3 linked regions of the Bombyx mori genome follow. The protein of the gene in region 1 purifies or fractionates together with the protein of each later gene. This does not show direct contact. Links are inferred from orthologs where the notes say so. Each region holds a gene or a part of one and is shown in the gene's direction. Other genes may lie near its edges.

Region 1 (5,616 bases):
ACCACCTTGAGATGCAATAAAAGTTTTAGTTTTATTATGTAATGGCTGTGCTATTTCACTAAAAACATGCCTCTTTTCTATATGTGGTTTGGAAGTATGAAACTTTTTTATTTTATTAACTGTTTACATTAGAGATGAATAGAAATTATGAGTCCAAACATTTATGAATATATTGCTGTAAACTACTTTCTAATTGGTACACATTTTATGGGTAATTAACATAAACATAAGCACTTATAAACATTACAATTTCAATAGCAAAAAACTTTCTTTTTGTGCTTTTAATGGACTATACTTGAAGATAAATTGCTATTCACCAAATCTACCCTTTAATGATATCATTTATAAGGATCATTTTTAAATGGACTTGCAGAGCTGATAAGGCTGTTCAACCTGTTTGATAAATAAAGATTGTTTCTGTACATAAAGTTTTTTAAGGTCTGGATGATTTATATTTGGAAGTATTTTTTAAAAATCTTACATTAAAAAACATTTATTTGCCATGTTAAAGAACGTTAATGAATTGGAAGGATATTTTAACAGTTTTCAATTGAGGCAATGAGCGCTCCGAACTAAACAATACCGCGGTCATTAGCCTTGAAATGCACCGAAATGCATATGCGATGCATAGAAAAAAAATTCAAACTACAGCACCTCACTGCAACAATGTCAATGCATTCTATATTTGAATGCACGACTAAAAATATCTTATCTGCGAACGTAAACATGTAAGAGCACAAAGGAACAATTACGAACAGTTTCGAGGGACCTTTTCAATGCATATCTCGTATGAATCATTCAATTGCACTTACCGAATATTGTTCGAATCTTGTATAAGCGCTTATTCACTTGTTAACATACGTACTACGCATCAGCGCACTTTCTACTTGTCCATTTAATTATAAATCATATGTCCAGTCACCGACAAATAAGCACGAAATATTCTACGTCCAATGCAGGTAGGCGAAACAAACCCACCGGGACGTGAATATTTTTCGTGCATTTATCAACGTTCCTTTATTATATTGCACTTGATCAAATTTACTACACAACAGTCAGAGTTGCTGTTACATAGCAATTATCATTTTTATTTATTTTAACATAAAATAACACCACAAAAACATCAGCGGTGAAGGTGAATGAACGATCAATTGATTTAAAAAACAAACTTCATTGTCTGTGGTAAGTTGACATTCAATAGGGTAAAAATCGCTATTAATCGGCAATGATGAACCTTTTTTTCTTAAAACATATTTTCTTATGCAGCATGGCTTAGTCCTCGGTATTACCAAATAAAATTGTTTCTGTTATCTCGTTTAGTATCAATTGCACCTTTGCCCACTTAATTATCTTTCCGTGATCGCGTGATTGCTGATGGCCTGTAGGCTTTAACACGATAGGAAAGTGAGCTCTGTTTAAACCAAGAGGGGTAGAATTTGCTGTCAACGGCCTAATCGTTTCCAAAGAAGGGTGGTGCAACAGCATTTATGAAATAGGGCATAGCGTTTTAAACAGTCTGAACGGTCACATCCGAACTTTGCTTAAACTGGGACCGCTCACGCGGTACAATTAATCCTATTTTTCTTACTTAATAAAATTGCTACTGACTATCCACCAAGAAAAGAACTAAAAATAAGTTGAGTTGATAGTATCACTAAAACGTAGGTGATGAACAATATTAATTTGTGTACATGCCCAAACCTCTACACAAGTCGCAATATATAATGGTTGCATTCACCGGTTTCAAACTGACAGCAAACTATCGTGAGTCATCTACAAGCCGACCTTTTGGAGGAATGTGAAGTGTCCAGCTCTATAAATTATAGTGTTTTGTTCACTTTGTGTATCTTCAGATATAGATTTGTAAAAATCCATGAATGTAGAAAAATGAAGAATAAAGTCACTGGTCGTGGCTTTTCGGGTTTTTCCAAAAAGTCCATTGAATACTTAGTAAATTGGAAATTCAAATCTACCTTTTTATTTCTTAATTTACTTAGAGGCTATTTTATTCCTTCTCTAATGAAATTGTTGCAGTCCGCTTCATTTAGTTGTAACCTAATTTCACCTGTAAATTCGCGAAGTTTCCATTTTTGGGTTCAATCGTATCACAGAAATTTTCAAGGTATCGGGCGATATTCCCTTTACTTGTCTGACGAACGAAACCGATTATAACGAACGACAATGTCAGCTGTCAACAATTCGCGCCAAGACTTCTAAAGTTCCAAAACAAATGCTGCTTCGGTGTTGTTTAAAACTTGTTGCTAATTATTTTTTATAGTAAGTTGTGTTAAAAAACGAGTGTGAAGTTAAAAATGTCTACACCATCTAAACGCCCGTCGTCGCGTGCATCATCGGAAGCATCGACTCCACGAAGAACGCGATCCTCACAACAAGTTATCGTTCCGGAGACTCCGCAGCGTTCAACCGGCACACCTTCGAAAGGTGAGAGTTGACAACAGAATCATTAAGATTTAAAACAATTGTACATTTGTATATAAACTTTTATTTAGAATTACAAACAAATTAAACTAAAATTTGTTTTGTAAAATTTTAGTTTAATTCTGCTGTACTTATTTCATCTTAACATTTAACCTCTTTTATCAATTTATATTTAACTTTTTAAAATTTCATACATATAATACATAAGGGAATAAAAGGCTTACAGCGTAATATTTAACTAAATAAAACAGCATTCGAATTTTATCATGTTTTAAACAGGCAGACATCTGTTAATTGATTAAAGTAGACTAGACATCACAACCTAAATGCTAGCACCCGCTTTGGACAATAAAGTCTAGTCTCTAATGTCATAAAAATATTAATATAAAATAATAAGTTCAAGTTAATATAATAAAACAATGTTTTCAAGACATAGCATAAAAATATAATAATGATAGGTAGCAAAAATGACAATGTGTTTGAAGTATATTTCAAATAATGGAATATGGAAAAGAAGGTTACAACATTCCTCCCCATCTACATCTCGTTGATCAGACGGCGGGGTGCCTGTTTAGGTCGATTACTTCGACGCGGAGCAAATGGCACAGGAGTGGAGACCGGAGCAGGTGAGGAGTATAACTTCGAATGCTGTGAAGGTGAATTTGGAGAAATTTGTACATTTGTAGGCGACTGCGGTGTAGGTAATAGTACTGCTGCCGAATTCTTATTGTTAGTTAGCCTTTCGCTAATTGATGTTTCCATTCCAATGTCTGGAGAAGCAGTCGTCGGCAGCATAGAAGAATGCGCCCTTTTATTCCTCGGGGTTTCTGAGGTGGAAGACTCGCGTGGCCTGATGTGATCAGCGTGTCTTCGTTTTTCTAGTCCTCCTGGTGTTGAAACAATATATGAATATTTATGTTTTCGGGATGTAATTACCGCTGGTTCCCATATTTTATCATTGCGTGTTTTAATATATACTTGGTCACTTGGTCGGTAACTCGGTGATGTGGTACGAATGTTTTCTTTTACTTGTAAATACTGCATTAATCTTCTTTTGTCTGGCCGAATGTTGGAAAGTATGCAATTCAATTGTCGTCCAAACATCATCTCAGCTGGAGATTTACCAGTGGACGAGTGCGGAGTGTTTCTGTATGTAAACAAAAATTCTAATAGTCGGCGCTCGAGATTTGTGTTGTCTACCGATGCCATTCTATTTTTGAATGTTCTGACTAAACGTTCTGCCAGCCCATTTGTCCGAGGATGATATGGAGATGATGTGACATGTAAAATAGATTGTTTTGTGCAATATTCTTTAAATTCATAAGATGTAAATTGAGGTCCATTATCGGATATAATCATTTTTGGTAAGCCAAATGTACAAAATATGTTATCTAATGTAAGACAAAGTGATCTGGTGTTGATGTGTTTCATCGGTCGTATTTCCACCCATTTGGAGAGAGCGTCGCACAATACCAACCAATACGATCCTTCGAACGGTCCAGCAAAGTCGATATGGATTCTCTCCCATACTTCTTCTGGTATGGACCAGGAAAATACAGGAAGTTCAGGATTACAAGGGCGGTTCTGTTGGCATCTGGTACATTTCTTGACAAATAATTCTATGTCTTCGTCAAGGTTAGGCCACCAAACATAGTAACGTGAAAGTGCTTTCATAGCAGAAATGCCAGGATGTCCTCGATGAAGGTATGTAAGAATGGTTTTTCGGAGTGCTGTAGGTATAACGATGCGTCCTTGCCTCATAAGTATCTTATTCTCAACAGATAATTCAGTCCGGTTTCTGTAGAATGGTTTCATTTCTGGATTGTAATCTGATTCTCTCCAGCCGGTTTTTAAATTTTGACAAACTTTTGTGAGTATATGATCCTTTGAAGTTGTTTTCATAAGTAACTGTTCTGATAGATTAAGGTCAGTCATTCGAGTGCTCAAAAGACGTAGATCTATTTTATGTACAAGCCCTTCTGTCTCGGAGGGTTCAGTTTCAGGGTTTGGTAATCTGGAAAGGCAATCAGCTAATGTGTTATTTTCACCTTTCCTGTAGTAAATGTCATATTGATAACTTCCCACTACTAGGGCCCATCTTACCAATCGGTTATTGGCTAGTTTAGGAAGGTTGCGGTGTGCACCCATAATATGTATAAGAGGCTTATGGTCCGTAACTAGATTAAATTTCGTTCCTCTCAAGTACTGATCAAATTTTTTTATACCAAATACTATTGCTAAAGCTTCACGATCAATAACGGAATATTTCATTTCCGCTGGTCGTAGTTTCCTTGAAGCAAAAGCAATTGGTTGTTCTATGTTCGAGTCCTTGTGGAATAATACTGCACCCAATCCCTTTTCGGAAGCGTCACATGCTAAATAAAGGGGACGTTTCTCGTCAAATGCAATTAATGGTTGTGAAGAAGTTATGCATTTCTTTGTATCTTCAAATATTCTGTTTTCATGATCAGTCCAACGCCATCTATTTTTTTCACTAGTTAGATCGTGAAGATCCGAACAAATCCCGTGAAGATGTGGTACAAACCGTTCGTAAAAATTAACTAGTCCTAAAAATGATCGTAGTTCTTTTGCATTACACGGTGCTGGGGCCTTAGTTATGGCATCAATTTTAGATTTGGTTGGGTGGATGCCATGTTTATCTATTATGTGACCTAGGTATTCAATCTGATTCTGTAAGAAATTACATTTCTTTAAGTTAACTTTTAGGCCAGCGTTTTGTAAGCGATCGAGTACAATAGATAAAGTTTGTAAATGTTCTGAAAGATCTTTCCCTGCTATAGCTATGTCGTCAAAATATACAGCTACATTGGTGATATCACCTAGCAGTTGATCCAGAAAATGTTGAAAAATTGAAGGAGCAGTCGATATTCCAAAAGGCATTCTATTGTATTGGAAATACCCTTTATGGGTTGACAACGTCAAGTACTTTTTCGAATCTGGTGCTATTTCAAATTGTAAGTATGCGTCTTTAAGGTCTATTTTTGAAAATAATTTACCGTTTGCGAGATTTTGGCGTAGTTGATCGAAAATCGGAACTGGGTGTAGGTGTTTAATAAGTACTGGATTAAGTGTAGTTCTGTAGTCTCCACATATCCTAACTTCCCCTGTAGATTTCAGAATGTTAACTGTGGGTGTAGCCCATTCAATAGGTGTAAT
Region 2 (5,317 bases), on another chromosome or scaffold:
AAATATATACGTGATCATGGATAACATGTTATGTTAATATATTATATTTTAGAAAGTTATCAAAGAGAATATTAACAATAGATAATGTTATTGTTCCAACCAGTGAGGCAGTAGAGGTAGCGATGCGCGTTTGTCTCGGGGGCCCTTGGAACCATTTACGTAGTCGCTACGCGCGAACGTTAATCGACGATAACACCCTCAAACTACAATACAGGTGCATCATGGGGTGCTAGAGAAATATGGCACTTTATAATATATATTTGTCAACATAAAATTACTTAACGCTTATTCTTCCTTTTAAAATGACTTCAAAATATCCAACCAAATTCCTTTGATTCTATAAACTATTTGGCAAACATTAGTGCCATATTTTGACTTTTGCACCATCAAACTAGGGTGAAGGGTGATCATGATGTGCAGCTTTATGTATTGTGGATATTTCTAACGTCTGCTTAACTTACAACACAAGTCATACTTAGTCTTAGTAATGTAAAAAATGTTTCTAATTTCGAATCTAAATGTATTTCAATCTCAATCATTAAAATTTAAAACAGCACTAAGTTTAAAATTATTACTAGGAATTATTAATAACGCAATATTATAAAACAAACTATGTACTACTTACTATACTATATAATATGTTGAAACTGAATTAGGAAAATAATACTATTTGTATATAGAGTTCCTAATTCTAAGAGTTAAAGTAACTTTTTGTTATTAACTGAGAAATTTGGTCACTAGAGCCAACACTTCACTCGATTGTCAACCAGAGCCAGGCACCAGACTACAATGTGATCATTCGTGTTGTAGTCTGGTGCAGGCCTAGTGTTATAAAATTGACATCCCTGTTGGTATAGCTCTATGACTACTGTTCTTCTGGCCTTCTAATATAACAATTCCCTTGGTCTTCACGTTTGTCGATCTCGAACAATCAAATATATCTTCAGGATTCCGTCGTCGCTTCGCAAACCGGCGGCGTCCATGATTGTACTGCAGTTGCAATCGAACCCTGCGCGTCGTCCGTCCGTGGACAAACTTCTGCAGCATGAATTCTTCTCATCGGGGATTTTGCCAGCCGGGCTGCCCGTCTCTTGCCTCACCACAGCGCCGCGCACTGACCAGCTCGAGGGCATGCTGGTACACCGCCGCCCTCTTAACGAAGTTCATGCTAACGGTGCATATATTGTAATTTATTTAATCGCAGGCTAGACTTCGAGACTTTCTCCCTCATAAATTGATGAGGGAGAGTTCAATAATAATTAAAGAAATTATAGTTTTAAATGGTAAAATATCATCGCAGTTACGATGAACACTAAAGAATATGTCGGATATGCGCGGATCTTTATTAATGACCCGACAGACTTCGTAGTGCCTCAATCGATAAATAAAAAAAAGACCTAAACTTTTGCATAAAATAAACTTAAAACAAACAAAAGGAATCCGTTTGACGGGGTACACATCAAAGAAAAACAAAATTGTTATTTTTATTCAATTCTGAGCATTTTCATATTTAAACCTTCTCTGGACTTCCACAAATAATTCTAGACCAAAATTAGCCAAATCGGTCAAGCCGTTCTCGAGTTTTAGCGAGACTAACGAACAGCAATTCATTTTTATATATATAGATAGATAGATAGAAGATTCATTAAGGAGCACTTATGCACATCAAAATCTTCATAGAATCAAAAAAGCAGCATTTTTCTCCTTTTATAATTAGCTACTTTAAAATTCAACATAAATGAATTGACATTTATAATACGTACTTTCAATTGAATAGAACAAGAGACGATGGCAGTGGACTCGCCCGTCAAACGCGAAGCTACCCCCGCGGGGCCACGAGCTGTGGAACCAACGTCGCACCGCCAGAATTTTATTGCACTGCGAGACCAGCTCGCTGCATTGTTGGTTAACAAGGTAAAATATAGTTTTTTTTTATATTAATACTAGCGACCCGCCTTCGCTTCGCTTCGGAAACATTAAATTTTATTATTAATTAATAGCTGAGTCTCGCGATGTTACCCGCGGTTATTGTCGTACCGCGAGTGAGGCCGCGGGGCGAAGCTAGTCTTAAAAAAGTAGCCTAAGTTACTCCTTATATCATCAGCTACCTATCAGTGAAAGTCTCGTCAAAATGGTCTAGCCGTTCCAGAGATTAGCCGGAACAAACAGACCGACAAAAATTGTTAAAAATGTTATTTTGGTATATGTACCGTATATATATTCATATTATGCGCTTAGTAAAAAGCGGTTATTTCAATATTACAAATAGACACTCCAATTTTATTTATATGTATAGATGAGAAAAAATACCTATGGTCTAAATAACATTTAATAGGCTCTAGTTTTGAAATAGGGCAGGACCGTGCTATGAACTGGTATACGCTGATAACCTTATCATAAGTAGAAATAAATTGATAAACTCTTCATCTTATGGAACTTTTGTAACTTAATTATAAACAACTAGTTTGACTGTATGTTGGCATTTTCTATAACTTTTAGCTGAAATGCCGACCGGAGGCTCTGACAGACGAGCTGAGCGATCCCGCAGCACAGCCGCTGGTGTGGGTTGGCAAGTGGGTCGACTACAGCGACAAATACGGATTCGGATACCAGCTCTGCGACGAGAGCGTCGGTGTCATGTTCAACGATACTACCAAGCTTATCATGCTCGCTAATGGACTGTAAGTTTACGTTTAATATAAATATTAGATGATAATATCAGATATACATATTTTTAATTATATTATATTATAGTAGTATACAACAGGCGCTTGCAACAGTTTCGAACTCACTAAAATTCGAAATCACGTTCGAATCACTAAAGCTTAAAATAGTTTTTTTTTTTATATCTTTATAATGAGAATCAAAGTATAATATGTCATAAAACGAATGCATTGCACACTCAAAATTAGAATCAAATCATAGCTCACACAAACTTTAAACATATTTTGAAGAAAAAAAATTCGCAATACACTTTTTTATACAAGTGATAAGAATCCATAGACATCATAATATGTTAATAGCATATTCCTTGCGGCGTGATTCTCAATTGTTTTGTATTATGACTGTAATGTGCAGATTAGCAAGCAACAAAATCTTCATATTGCTATCTGAAAAAATAAAAGGAGATCTGCATAAACTATCCTTTTTCAGGAATGTGCACTACATCAATCGGCAGGGCCAAGAGCAGTACATGACGATGCGCGATTACCCGCAAGAACTCGACAAAAAAATGAAACTCCTTACATACTTTAGACGATACATGACCGAACATCTCATGAAAGCTGGTAAATTTTTCAACATCCATTGTCATCACTAAAGCATATAAATCAAATAGAATATTCAGAAAACAAAATGTGTGAGCAATAGTTTTCTTATGGCATGAGTAACTAATGTATTCATACTTAACAACAATGTTATCGCTTTTAAATAAATTTACCATTATCCAGGTGCTTCAGTACCAGTGCGAGAGAGTGATGGTCTGTCTCGTTTGCCACATTTACACCAGTGGTTTCGAACAACTTTAGCTGTTATTATGTACCTGACTAATGGAACTTTACAGGTTAGTAGAATTATATTTTAATGCTGTTGGCATATAATTTTTATTGATCTGTTATATTTCTTTCTCATCATGATTGTTTTTTTTTTCTAATATTACAGATAAACTTCCAAGATCACACAAAGATAATACTGTGTCCACTTATGCAAGCTGTCACCTACATAGATATAGAGAAGAATTTCAGAACATTCCGCTTTAATACCATTGAAGAGCATGGCTGTGATAAAAAGCTTTACACAAACCTCACATATGCATTGGAAAAACTAAACAGTGTATTGGCAAACAAACTGTGCTAGTTTTCACTGAACCTAAATGAGTAAATGAATTTGTGGGCTTTGTGGAAAGCTCCAATGAAGAACTGTGTAAACCAAGAGACCCTGCTTATGTAAATAGCAAAAAAGTTTGAAATCACTACAAATTTTCATCATTCTGTTCTTATTGATTGAGATAGTCTGTACTTGATAAAAAAAATCTTTACACTTAAATTTCCTAGGGTCTCCTACTTTTCTAAAATAAAAATTATATTACCTTTTGTATTTTTAGGATAGTCACCAGTATATTATAATTTAATAGAAGGGTCACTAAAATCAATTTTGTACCCTAAAATTTCAAACTTAGGTTAAAAATCCACCGATACTGTCTATTTATTTAGTAAATACTTTTTAATGATTTAGCATCAAATTATTTTGCCGATTCAGTATATGAGCAAAACTTTCGACTTTTTTTTTTATTCTTTAAATATGTGTCTTTGGTTGTTAATACATATTATATTCCATTTGATGCAAAACTTACTGACTTTGCCATTTCAGGGAATGATTTGATTTCTATCTACATATTTCTAAACATCTACAATAATTGATGGAAGAATAAATTTAATTTTAGATTTTAATTTGATTGCCATTTTAAAAGCGCCCTTTGACAGGGGCTGTGGTGCGATATCAAGAAAGTTTGGAGTTATTTAGTTTTATAACTATATTTTTATAACATTTTGTTTTGTGCTTCAACAGCATCAATTACAAATTGTTTCATGTTCGTAATGAAATAAAATTAATGTAATTCAGCAAGTGTTCAATATTTAGTCGTTAGAATTCGTTATGCGTGAAAAGAAATCGATTCAGTACTGTATGTATCAATTTCATTTTGCAACTTGAAAGTTTGGTGGATGGTCTGCTGCTACCTCGTGGATTAACATAAACTATAAGTACTTGACAATAAAGTTACACAAAACAATTGTTGGAGTTAGTTTAAAATCTTCTTGTACTTAAGATAAATACAAATAAAAATTTGAGAACTGAGTAAAGTGTAAACCATGACCTAAGTTTCTTCGGTCAACTCTCATTGGAACGCGTGTAGTACAGGCCCATCATTTAATAACTTAACTTACTTGACGATAGGCAGTAGTTTGGCTCTGACCCTGGCCTTACGTCTATGAGCGACTGTAACCACTCACCATCAGGTTGGCCATATACCCGTATGCCTGCCTACAAGGGCAAAAAAAAAAAATTATAAGTTACTTGTAGCTACTACTAGTAACTTTCTACCCACATGTTAAATAGTTACGGAGGCCCGTAATACTACAACAATTCATATCCTCCACCTTTGGAGTCTAAAGATGAAAATTTTAAAACGTAAATTGCACTAGCTATCACGTAATTAGTCTTAAGACAATAAAAGATTCCTCTCGGAATAAGGTATTTTTCGAAATTAAAAATAGCCTGTGTCACTCTCTAATCTAAAAATATAACTTTGAAAGAATCA
Region 3 (4,873 bases), on another chromosome or scaffold:
GCCCAATGAGAAGACCCGGTGAAAGAAACTCAGTTACTTGTGTTTGTGGCAGCGTATTCCCAAAAGGACAAGCACTAACACATTTCCCCACCCCCACTGTGCCAGAAAAAAGTTTTCATAAACTATCGTAAATGCCTTAAACAAATAAAATATCAATCAAACTGCTGGGAAACCCGATCGCGAATAACATTGCACAGCGCGTAATAAAAATCTCGTCAATAAAATATAAAACATTAAAACAGAAAAACAATAAAAATGTTTCACGTGTATTGTATTTCTCTTATGTTGAACAACATTGTAATACATAATGGGTATTGTGGCATTGAATCTAATGTTATATTTCGTTTTGCAAACTGTAAATATTGTGGTTTGCACGAAATCACTGCGCACAGGCAGAGATGCTTTAGAAGATGAGTACCCGTACGTTGTGACGGTCGAGTTAAAACTCACGAATACTACGACGAACGCTCTGCTGTGCTCGGGGTGCGTGCTGACCCCGACCTGGACCCTGACCACCGCGCGCTGCGTCTCCAAAACCGAAGACTTGCTAATCCAGGATCCGAAGATGTCATGGGTGGTGTACTATGGACTCACGCAGAAACCTTCCCAGGACACCGCCATCGCGATCCTTTCCGGAATAGTCCACCCCAGATATGCCGCGTCACCGAGAATGCTTCACAACGACATCGGCCTTCTGCGCACCGATCCCATCACCCTTAAACAGTTCGCCAAATTGAGCGCCGTTGACATGTTCTCTATGAACGGTTACGAAGTTGAGCTAATAGGCTTCAAGTCGACCAATGATACCAGTGGAAAATTGAAGAGAACTCTACAGATTTCATCGGTTGTGGTGAAGACTTGTGAAGGCACCGTTACTTATCCGGGGATGTGTTTGGCTCGGTCCTGCTCGTTGACCGACGCTTGTCACCAGGAAACTGGAGGTATAGCCATCCACAGCACCGGGGTCATAGCACTCCTGGCCAGTGGACGCAAGAGGGACTGCTTGGAGAACAATGAGAGACAGCAGGCCTATCAAATTGAGACAATGACTTCAATTGTGCCATATATAGATTGGATTCATACTCATATCAAGAGCTAATAGTAGCTAGTGTAAGATTGGTGTCAGAAGCTTCAGTGAACGGATGAAATTTGTATTGTTTTCTCAATAAAAGTGTTTGTTTATGAGCTTTATTTGTATTTAGCTTTTAAAAGCAATTAAAAATGCTCAGTTAACTTGATGATTACCCGCCTTTAGTTAAGCCTGCTCACTAAAGTATTGATATTTTACACTGACTAACTTTGTACGCTTCGGGCTTGTGTTGGATCAATGTTTTATCTTCTCGTTATTTTACTTGCTTAGCTTATACTGTTGTGTATGCACAAATGAAAGATTCCAAAGCAGACTGGTTTATTTTTGCATCTACCCGCCATTTTATAATGCGATTTAATATCTATACATAACACTTGTAATAAAGGGAGGTGGCGGAATTCATGGAATTCATTTGGTGAACTATATCTGATGTTTATAGGTTCCGTGAAGCTGTTGACCTGGAGTTGGCCATTAGTTTGTTCAAATAATTGTTCCATGCTCTCTGCGACATACGCCTTAGTAACTTCTTACTGCATTTCCAAATAGTAAGGAAATTGTATAATGGTAAACATGACGTAATAGCTTAGGTTATTTGAAGATACACTTTTTTAACGAGCATAATAAGAAATACTATTGCAACATTCTCTTCGAAACTCGTTTAAGATACTCATTACGATTGATTACAATTCAGGTTAAAGGTCTACTCCCCGACGAGGAGAAAGAGAAAATAGGTCCGAAGCCAGTGACCGGGGCAGCCCAGAGCCGGGCGGGGCGTCCCCCCGCGCCCCCCTCTGCCCCCCGCGCTGCTCCGCCTCCCCCGCCCCCGGCACCGCCTGTGCTGCTGCAGCCGATGTCCTCGCTAATGGTCCTGCCCCCCATGGCGCCCCGACCTCCGCTCATACCGGCTCCAGTGGGTACGTATACTCGAACACTGCACACATTCCGTACAACATGGCGCTAAGATCGCGTGCCTGATTTACTGGTGCCGGACAATGTACATGTAGTCTTAGGGAGTTAAGCTACAGATTAGAGGAAGAGTTGATGGAATGATAGAGTAAAGTGACATCTGAATGTGATCGCTGTGAGGGGATCATATGGTCAAAGTGTTCTGTGCAGGGGACCGACCCATCGTGGGTCGGTGAGTATCGGCTTCGGTCTGTGCACCCACGGTGTGTTGGACCCCACCTAACGCCAGTTGAGCTGTAGATTCGCGTGCCAGTAATGCATGCAACTATCCAAATATTGTGTGTGCTTCTTGCATAACACATCCGCTCAGTACATTTTGTACCAATAATGTGATTGCATCGCCTTAGGTGCAGTACCACCGCCGGCGTTCAACTTCGGAGCGGTAGTCCCTCCGGGCACAGTGGCGGAGCCCGAGGACGAGGGCCCGGCCGCTAAGAGAGCCCGCACCGAGGACGCGCTGGAGCCCGAGGGCGCCTGGCTCGCGCGCCACCCCGGCGCAGTCCCCCTGCAGGTGGGCTACCAGTAACACTACAATGATTGCTCTTACGCTAACAAACATTACAACTACAAACAAATAGAAAATCGGTCCAGTGTTTTTTTATTTTTTTTTATTGCTCAGAGGGGTGGACGAGCTTACAGCCGACCTGATGTTAAGTGGTTACTGAAGCCCATATACATCTACAACGTAAATGCGCCACCCACCTTGAGATATAAGTTCTAAGGTCTAAGTATAGTTACAACGGCTGCCCCACCCTTCAAACCGAAACGCATTACTGCTTCACGGCAGAAATAGGCACGGTGGTGGTACCCACCCGCGCGTATTATTAATATACCCCCAATATTAATATGTAGACAGAAGTGCTCTAATTTAATACGGTTTTATTAGCTTCATACGTATGTTAGTAAGTAACGGAATCTTTGAACATGATTTTGACCCCCTTCAAAACGTCAGATTGATTCGAAATTTGGCATACTTATTAAGGACCGATTAAAATTCAATATTTTAAACAATTAGACTCGTTATCCTTACTAGGATAATCAGGAATAGCGATTTTTTGTTTTCCTGAGACCCTGAGTGTCTGCGTCAAAACCAAGATGGGAAACCACCAGGCCCGCTGATTACCTATTTCTCGGATAAGTTACCGACTGTATCAGATGAAAGTTTTGAAATATTGAAAAAAAAAATTAATAAATTAAAATTCAACTAAAAAAATAGAAAATAAATTTTAATTAAAAATAGTCTAAGAAAAAATTATATTATTGTAAAAAAATCGTGGGGCGCACTGTATCAATAGTTATAAATATTTTATGAACAGATATGAGTAGAAGGGCTATTTTGATAATATACTGAAAAGCACCCGTACCTCCTACGAGGTCTCCGCGCTTAGGAGGCGCGCGGGGTAGGTACGTGGGACTGGTCCGCGACTGCGAGACTGCGGGCCCAAGGATGTTTTCAGGGCCCTAGAGTGGTGGTACCTACCCGTGCGGACTCACAAGACGTCCTACCACCAGGAATGCATTATGTTAATTGTATGATATTGTACCCTAATGCCCTTGTCCCTTGTGTCGGCAGGTGTCGTTGCCGGCGGCGCCTGAGCGCGCGGAGTGGCGGCTGGACGGGCGCGCGGTGCCGCTGACGCTGCCGCTGTCGGCCGCCGTCGCCGAGCTCAAGGCCATGCTGCAGCGCGCCACCAACATGCCCACCGCCAAGCAGAAGCTGCACTACGAGGTATCCCGACACGCTCAAATACTCGCATAGCTCACCGTAACAAATGATTAGCCATATTTTTTCCCCGGTTTTGACAGACCATATTAGCGTCAGGCGAATAGGTGAGCTCATGGGGCTCAAATCTGACGTTGTTGCTAACACGAACCCTAGCAAGAGCTGTGCTTCGCAGAATCTTCCATCAGATAATATATAAGTATTGTTCCAGGGTCTGTTCTTCAAGGATACTAACAGCTTGGCGTACTACAACGTGCCCCCGGGTGCCGTCATACAGCTACAGATCAAGGAACGAGGCGGTAGAAAGAAATAATACAAAAAAATACTATAAAAGTTAATGATAAGGGACTGCGAAACACGTTGGAAGAATTAATACAGAATTTACATCAGAATATTGACATTCAGTCAATAGGTTGTTACGTTAGTCGTGATAAAAAGATTCATTGAAATTATCTAATGGTGGGAAAATTAAATATTTACCAAATAATATTGTAATTATTTATTGTTGGTAACCCTGACCTATCACACCCCTAATCCAAGACCTCTTATTCCCAATAAGAATATATGTGAACTCTTGAAGTATCTTGAGGATCGCCAGCTGATCAATGACCGACAATACGGTTTAAGTCACGGTGTCTCAGCTTTTTTTTTCTTACATGGTTCGACGAACTCACAGCCCATCTGGGTTAAGTGGTTACTGGAGCCCATAGATATCTACAACGTAAATGCGTCATCCTCAACACCTCAACACGTATGCACCAGACGTCATCAATTAGGCCACGACGACTATTATGTAAATGTCTATAGACTCCGTAACCACTTAACACCAGGGCTGTGAGCTCGTCCATCCATTTAAGCCATAAAAAAAGCATGCCATCAATAGATAGCATATCATTAATATACAGGATGAAAAGCGTGGGGAAGAGTACCGAACCTTGTGGAACGCTAGCATTAATGGCCACGGTATCGGAGCAGCAACCGTCTTAAGTTTGTGATGTTCTCCCCATCCAAAAAGCTAGCGATCCACTTGCTGTCTCTCGGGGATTCCGTGAGATGGTAACATCGACAGAAGTGCCCTATGCCAGGCCCTGTCG

Evidence for each region.
Region 2: the proteins of DNA replication licensing factor MCM4 (region 1) and serine/threonine-protein kinase polo purify together in Homo sapiens (affinity purification with mass spectrometry; 3 studies listed by BioGRID and IntAct, with this or other methods). This does not show direct contact. The link is inferred for Bombyx mori from reciprocal best matches to the Homo sapiens genes MCM4 and PLK1.
Region 3: the proteins of DNA replication licensing factor MCM4 (region 1) and splicing factor 3A subunit 1 fractionate together in Homo sapiens (co-fractionation; 3 studies listed by BioGRID, with this or other methods). This does not show direct contact. The link is inferred for Bombyx mori from reciprocal best matches to the Homo sapiens genes MCM4 and SF3A1.

The regions. Positions count from the first base shown.
Region 1 is NC_085125.1:2,550,032-2,555,647, forward strand, and holds the start of DNA replication licensing factor MCM4, read left to right. Parts: upstream 1-2,167; 5' UTR 2,168-2,312; coding exon 2,313-2,442; intron 2,443-5,616. UniProt on the Homo sapiens protein: Acts as a component of the MCM2-7 complex (MCM complex) which is the replicative helicase essential for 'once per cell cycle' DNA replication initiation and elongation in eukaryotic cells.
Region 2 is NC_085121.1:12,624,759-12,630,075, forward strand, and holds the end of serine/threonine-protein kinase polo, read left to right. Parts: intron 1-103; coding exon of another isoform or gene 104-214; intron 215-947; coding exon 948-1,174; intron 1,175-1,777; coding exon 1,778-1,914; intron 1,915-2,499; coding exon 2,500-2,681; intron 2,682-3,153; coding exon 3,154-3,287; intron 3,288-3,449; coding exon 3,450-3,562; intron 3,563-3,660; coding exon 3,661-3,855; downstream 3,856-5,317. UniProt on the Homo sapiens protein: Serine/threonine-protein kinase that performs several important functions throughout M phase of the cell cycle, including the regulation of centrosome maturation and spindle assembly, the removal of cohesins from chromosome arms, the inactivation of anaphase-promoting complex/cyclosome (APC/C) inhibitors, and the regulation of mitotic exit and cytokinesis.
Region 3 is NC_085112.1:2,361,798-2,366,670, forward strand, and holds the end of splicing factor 3A subunit 1, read left to right. Parts: exon of another isoform or gene 1-307; coding exon of another isoform or gene 308-1,099; exon of another isoform or gene 1,100-1,781; coding exon 1,782-2,004; intron 2,005-2,403; coding exon 2,404-2,567; intron 2,568-3,629; coding exon 3,630-3,785; intron 3,786-3,990; coding exon 3,991-4,092; 3' UTR 4,093-4,266; downstream 4,267-4,873. Other genes in the region: transmembrane protease serine 3-like, read left to right, coding at 308-1,099. UniProt on the Homo sapiens protein: Component of the 17S U2 SnRNP complex of the spliceosome, a large ribonucleoprotein complex that removes introns from transcribed pre-mRNAs.